2 linked regions of the Caenorhabditis elegans genome follow. The protein of the gene in region 2 interacts with the protein of the main gene of each other region in a pairwise test. Each region holds a gene or a part of one and is shown on either strand. Other genes may lie near its edges.

Region 1 (3,756 bases), on a different chromosome or scaffold from region 2:
CACGTGACAACTTCACTGAACGGGGGTAATAATATTCCAATGATAGTAACTGTCAAGTGTCGATCCCTTTTGTTTTATGATTTCCGCTTGAACGGTCATCGTATACTGTTTGGCTGAAGAGACATGTGGTGGTATAATCCTCTGGGAAATCCAATCTTCACCATGTGTCTCGAGAATATCTCTGATGTTGACTTGTTACTGTAGGATTGAGTGGAATTGATATTATTTTTGATATTAGGGCGATAGCGGTCATTTAGTTCAATTTTTGGTCATTTAGTTCAATTTAGTTCATTTAAAATTTCCTAGGATTTTGTTTTACGGTGTTCCACCGACACTAAAAACTGATTGTTCAGATCAGAGGTGTACGTTAAATTTTTTCGACAATTCTACAAAATGGCCTGATGTGGCATGTTGGTCTGATATTTTTCATTAAAATTTAGTGTCAAAATATAGGATTGATTGATCTGAAAATAATTTTTTAGTTGAAAAAAAATCCTTAAAAGTTGTCTGAAAGGTGAAAATTGCTGGAATAAATCAGACAAATTATTGACACTTTTTTCCAGCAATTGGCAACTTTCATGCAATTTTTAATCATATTTTCACATTTTCAAACTTAAATGAAAATTATTTTCTGATTAATAAATTATTTGTTATATATTTTTGCATTAAATTTTGATCTGTTTTGCCTGTTGAACTAAAATGCTCTAGTTCAGATACAAGTAGTTTCAAAGAATTTGAGAGATTAGATTATAAAGACATCTCAACAACTTCTAGAGCTCACAACAGCATCTATTGAGTTCAATTGAAAAATTCAATTTTGGAGAAGAAAGGATTTAAACAGAATTATCTATATTTGAAGTGTTGCTAACATACTTCTTGTCATCTGTCGCCTGCATCGTTTGCACCTGCCACCATTACCGCCATCTCACGTCGTCGTCTTCTTCATGTCTTCTTTCTTATTTTGCCTGTTGTGTCCCCGGCGGTCTGTCCGGTCCATCAACATCCGTCTGCGCGCGCAGTGACCCTTGCGTTCTCTTTTTACGTCTGCGTCTCTACAGGACACTAGCACTGTCTCATATGACCAGCGGTCTGCTACAACGGCCGTTAGCCTCCCATAACAATTCGCTTGTCTCCCGCTTTCGTACGCTATTCCCGGAGCGGTGCCCACCCCAATGGTTGGGCCCTCTTGAGAGAAATAGTTCGTTTTGGTAGCTCTTCCTTTTCTTCTTCCTTTTCCACGATTTTCGCATTTTCACACCCAACGATTTGTAATGCGTTGTGCAACTAATAATTGAGACTAGATTCATCACATCTTTATTTGCTTATTTTATTTTATGCAGTGAAGACATTTGAATAATGCATACTTCCTGAAAAAGTACGTATTCTAGTGAGAAGATCTAATAACGTTTCGCAATGTTTCGACCTTTTCCATCCTATTTTTAGCTGCTTGAGTATAGAATTTCTTCAAAAATATCAATGAGTCAGTCATTTTAAAACAAACTTTAAAATTTAGTTTTAAAAATTGGCAAGACCATTTTGACCAAAATTTGGCAAGAGATTGTTTAGACTAGGGTCAAATAGAATTAAATTAGCTCAAGCCACATGTTGCCAATTTCCGATTTAAGCCATTTTTTTCCGGATTGTTTGAAATATTTTGTATACCAAACTTGTTCCAAGAAGATGTTAAGCTATATGAAAAGCTTCTAAAATTGTAATGCACTTATTTTTAAATGTTCTGGAAAATTTTGTTTTTTCCATAATAATTAATAATTTTGTCTCGATTTTTTCTTTGATTTTTAAAATCTTATTTAGTGTGATTTTCCATGATTTTCGAGCAATATTTCATCAGAAAATTTAAATCGAAAATCAACTTTTTCTCTCTTTTCAATACGCACTCTATTTTATTTTCTCAAATCTCTTTTTTTGAAAGAAATTTAAAATTCTTTGAAAACTGTCATTTTTTCAGATAAACGGGTTCTCATCTGATCGTCACAATACACACACAGACATTCAGAAGCACATGATTATTTTGAATTCAAGAAGAGTCGTCAAATTCGCATAAAATTCCTCCATCAGTTATGGGCGATTATGATGGAAAAGTGAGTTTTTTCAGTTTCATGGTGGCGGCAGCGGCAACTTGTGAAAAAAGAGGCAGAGATGCCGGCGCCGTAATCCATTGAAGCGATTAATGCGGAAAACGAGTGCAAACTGTACGATTTGATAGAGAAAAGAATACGTTTTTGTTTTTCGAATGTTCCGAGAAATGTCTTTTTCATCAAATTTTTAAATTTCAAATAATTTAATTTTGTTTTGTTAATATTGCCCAGACGCAAAGTTTTGCGATATTTGCAATAAAAATACGGTATTCGGTCTCGATACTACAAATTTTTGATGAGCCTTTAAAGATTACTGTAGTTTAGTTGATTATTGATTTTTTTCTCTATATTTGTTTAAATTTATGTGTTTAACAGTTTTTTTGTTGTAAAATTGTTCCGATGAAAAATTTTTTTATAAATAACAATGAAAATTGATGAAAATTCCGCAAAAACCAAATGCTAGAGATTACAGTATTCTTCAAATAAAATTTTATCGTGTCAAGACCGGGTACCGTATTTTGATACAAAAATCGTTAAATTTCGCCTATGAGTAGTAGAAAAAATTAACACCAAAACAGCAACTAAAAAATTTAATATAACTTTAAAGTTTTGCCAAAATTGAAAAAAAAAATTTCCGAGATCTCTACTCTTTTTCACGACTATAAATCTTGATTAGGTCCAAACTAAAGAAAAATAAATCATAATAATTGATGTATTACGATTACAAACCTTCCCAGACAATTGTTGAAAAGTGTAAAATGAGTTCATCACGTTTTTGAAATATGTTATGAGTCAATTGTTTTGTGTCACTCATTCCGAAATTCGGTGCTCTCCCGGTGCTCCTGCTTCTTCTCACCCATTATTTCCGGATAGATCATGAGATGGAGAGACGCAGATAGCACGATAATAGTGACCGGTTGTGTAAAGTTGTGTGAGAAAAGAAACGAAATAGTGGGAGCTTATCAAGCTCTTCCCTCAATCCTTGAAACAGATGGTACTCTCAAAGAGTGCCTTCTCGATTAGCACCAATCTTACTACTAGTATGTTGTTGTTCGAGACAGGATTATGACCTCGAGAAGCGAGGAAAATGTGAGAGAGAACGAATACCAACAAAAAAATCCGAATAGTGTGTGTGTGTAATGACGGCAGTTTATGGCAATCGGGGAAGACATTGAGAATTGTTGTAGTGCAAAAAATTGGAGGAAAAAGAAAGAAAAAATGAAAGAAAATCTCTTGTGTGCCGGGTTTTCTTTCTTCCTTTTTCGTTTTTTTTCGTGTTGGTTTGCCTTGCAAGTAAACTAGTCAACTTCAAAATACTCTGGTTGAGCTTTTACAAAAAGTTCTCTCAGTCTTTTTTCTTTCAAATACAAATTTTTCTGCCCAATTTTTTCACAAAATAAACAAAAAGAGCCAAACTTTTATAGGTAGTTTTTGAGTACATTGTACTGATTATTTTAATTTAAAATCAATGATTCTAGTTTGTTATCTCTATTTTACAGTTTCATAAAATTTAAAAAAAGTAATGTACAGTGAATGATTTCAAATTTTTCTTTCAGTATTGGCCATACAAAAATGAAAAAATACAAAAAATAAAAAAATTTTATAAAACCTAGATTTCCGTTTGACATTTTCTTTTTTATTCCAAGTTTTAGTGCAAGTT
Region 2 (3,756 bases):
AAAATCAATTATTGCAGTTTTACAATGCTTTCAAATATCAGCCTAACTTCCGATATACCATTGTTACTGCTATGCTTTTCTTGATTACATTTTTTTTCTTTATATTCATTGTATTTTCAAATCTGCAAAACTTGACAAAATAGAAGCGAAAACTTTCTTGTATTATTTTTTTTGAAACAAGTGCAAAACAGTAGTCCAAATATTTGTTATCTTATCTTGTTTTTTTTTATTTTGTCAAATGTTTTTGTTCAAACCTCTCAAATAATTTTTAAGACACCTATTATTCAAATTTGTAGTTTTTCCTTCCAACCCATGAAAACCTACAGTAACCCTTCAGGGAATCTCCCGCCTTTACCACGAGAATTTCTCTTTATTATGTTAATTTCAAGTTTTTGAGTTAGGCGGTACTCTTTTCATTCACTTGCTCAAATATTATATTTTCTCACAATTTCTCACATAATCTTGCTCTGCTTGACACATAGGACGATTAACATTGAAAGTTTAATAAAATTATAACATTTGACTTTGAAACAGTAATTTTTTTAAAAAAGAAATGTTCAGATGTCACTAACATTTCAAAAATCATGGTTTATTTATCAAAATAATGAAACAGGCTTTTACAGAAAAAATTGTTCTCTAGCTAACATCTCTAGTGAATAGTAAGTATTTTCAAAGACGACTTTTCTAGAATCTGCGTAACAATGGAATTCAAATTACCACTCCCCATATAATGATCTCTAAAAAATGTTTTTAGAAAAATTTTCCATTTTTTCAGATTCCATGCTTTGTTGTCTTAATTTCCACTATTTTCTATTCCTTCAGAATTCAATCACTGAAGATGAAGCACACATTTTTTTTACAGTTTCAATTGGATCTTTTGTGAATTAAGAGTATTTTTGTTTTATTGAATCCATTATTGTTATTGAGACAATAAAGCTTATGAGTTCCATGTAAGAAAAAGTTGGTCTGAATATTTATCAAATTCAAAATTCTTCAATAATTGAACGGGTATTATTCCAATTCTAATACAACTGTGAAATTATATAAAATTCATCAAAACTATGAAACATGTTTTTACTGGATCAAATTTTCTCTGGATGATTTTTTTTCATCAAAATCAATTTTTTCTGTATCCTGATTATATTCAAACTAAACCAAAGTGTGCAAATTGAAGAAAAAAAATCAACTCCCTTTTTTTAAGTTCGTTTAAAATTCCAATAACCTCCTATTTGTTTGAGAATTTAGTTTCTTGAAGCACAAAATATTGTTACAGTTTCAGTAAGGCTTCTTTTAAATTCAGATTTTTCTCCGACATTGCCTCGTATGATACCTTTGTATTTAATCCGAAAACAAATTCTTGAGTGTTCTATGATTGTAAAAAAGTCAAATAAGTTTTCTATGAGAAAATACAAAAATGTCTCTGTAGGTGAAGTGTAATAACATTGCAAACAGATTTTTACAGTTTTTTGAGCAGCAAGGAGTTTACATATCAGCACGAAACATCACGAAAAAGTTATCTAAAACTTTTTTCTAGATAGTTGAAATTTATAAAATTTATTTGTCTGTTTCAGTAGATTCACTTTATTTAATGCAACTTCAAGACCATAGTCGTATGTCAACAATTGTAACCCCTATATTGTAATTAAATTAAAAAGTTGACTGTTTCACCATGTTTTTTTTCAAAATGTAATTTCAAATAAGTTTTGATGTTCTGTGGTTTTTCGTTCCATTTTTTAAATAAGAAATAATTTTGGATCATTGAAAAAAAATCAGTTTAGAAAGTGAAAAAAATCTATAATTACTAAGTTTACAGACAGAAAAGTTCACTATTTTTTCCAACCCAAATCTAGAAAACATTGAACTCTGTCTGTGGTCTGGTTGGTTGTCCAATTTGTATTTTTCGGACCTTTATCCTTTCTTTAACATCTGGTTTTTATTACAAGAATCGCCGCTCTCTCTTCCTCTTGTTCACATGTCTTCCGTGCTCACAAAAACCTTTTTTATTTCTTCACGGGACCTCCACAATTTTTTCATTTTGATTTTTATTCTTTCCATCAGTTTTTCCTTTTAATTTGAAAATTTGAAATTCTACAGATGGAGGACGACACGCCCGATGTGAGTTCAGATTCCAATGGAGATGCAGCATACAGCGATTATTTCTTGGACTACAAATCAAGTGAGTTTCTGATTTTTGAATTAATCCCTCTTATTTTATCCTACTTATAAAAAAGTTAAGGACTATCTTTTCTTTGTTTAGAAAATATGCCAATGGGTGCCCCCGGCAGGGGGTAACGGGGGTAAATATTAGGAAGTATTAAGAGGGGTCAGTGAATTGTTTGGTGTTAGTTTCAAGGAGCTATGACACTTTTTTTTGATGATTTGTCAGTAAATACTAGATTTGTTTTACTTTTGGTATCTGTATGGCCACGGTTTGAACATTTAAAAAATTTGAAAAAAATTACTGTTTCAGAAATTGTATAAGTATTTTAAATTTCCTTGTGATGTGATTGCGTTTGTTAAAAAAACATTTATAAAATGTTTATATAGTTTTGCAAAAAATTCTGAACTGTTTTCCCAAAGTAAAAATTCCCTCCGACGAGGAGGCAGACTCTCTCGCTTTGCAGACTGCCTTCTGTGTTTTTTTATAAAAACATTTCTTGAAACAATAACGTTACTTTAAAACTTACCTCAAAATTATCTTTGGTTGTAACATTTAAAAATCACGTGAATTTTGCAGAGATTCTATACATTTTCACAATTTTAATAAAGTCTGATCTATGAAACGTTATCAATCACACCTCTCCTTAAAATTGGGAATATAACGGAAAAGTTAACAAATTAAAGTTTAGTCAATATTTCTAAAAATTAACATTTCAAGAAAAATTTGATCAAGCAGTCATAATATACTCTAGCGCTTTCATTGATGGCAGGCAGGCGTTTTAATTTGCCTAACGTCTACCTGCCTTTTGAATATCCATTTTTATTTTGCTCTTTCATAAAATCAAACATGAGTTCACTAGCAGCCGACAGTATCTAGGTCTTGCGACTCATCATAAAACTATAAGTAGGCACAGAAACAGGCAGGCATTCTCTACCTTACTTCAGTTAGTCCCTTTCTCCAATTTCTTCCGTTTCCCACTCACTCATACATCATTGAACCTTTGAGAAGGTGTCCCATCTCCAAAGACACACGTGCCGCCACTTAATCCCAATTCTCGCCAGAACTCTTTTCACCACCACCACCAGTTGCTTCTTCTTCTTCTTCTGTTGTTTTTTTGTGTGTGTGCTCACCTCTTTCCCCTCTTCTCCAATCATCACCCATTCACACCACGGATGACTAGGTCCGATGATTTTTGCCGCCAAATGATATTGTTGTAACGTTTCCTGAGTCAATGATGATGACGACGTACCTGGAGGGGGGGGGGGGAGCGGTATTCTCTTTTTGATGGACCCCCCGTACATTCCCCCACAGGTATACCTTAATGTCAAATGTCAATCAGAACGAAAATATATGTTGTTGCTTTATTAAACTGTTGACATGTGTAAACAGAATATTTTACTTACGCATTAGTTTACTTTATGGCTCATAGATTCTCCAGTTGATAGATGTTGTAAAATTGGGAGAGGTTAATGGGTGAACGGGAGTGGTGTCACCTGTTTTCACATAGTTTGTATTATGACACTGGTTGCGATAAAATTTCAGTTTATAATCTGATAGTGAGGTCCAGCCGCGATAAAAATAAAGATTATACTAAT

What was found. The genes of interacting proteins can lie anywhere in the genome.
Region 1: the proteins of unc-5 (region 2) and unc-73 interact in a two-hybrid assay, tested with the Caenorhabditis elegans proteins (one study listed by BioGRID).

What each region holds. Positions count from the first base shown.
Region 1 is NC_003279.8:4,029,950-4,033,705, reverse strand, and holds the start of unc-73 (CRAL-TRIO domain-containing protein), read left to right. Parts: upstream 1-1,966; 5' UTR 1,967-2,078; coding exon 2,079-2,099; intron 2,100-3,756.
Region 2 is NC_003282.8:5,526,677-5,530,432, reverse strand, and holds the start of unc-5 (Netrin receptor unc-5), read left to right. Parts: upstream 1-2,094; coding exon 2,095-2,176; intron 2,177-2,507; exon of another isoform or gene 2,508-2,528; intron 2,529-2,792; exon of another isoform or gene 2,793-2,813; intron 2,814-3,730; exon of another isoform or gene 3,731-3,751; intron 3,752-3,756. UniProt on the Caenorhabditis elegans protein: Receptor for netrin (unc-6) required for axon guidance. Mediates axon repulsion of neuronal growth cones in the developing nervous system upon ligand binding.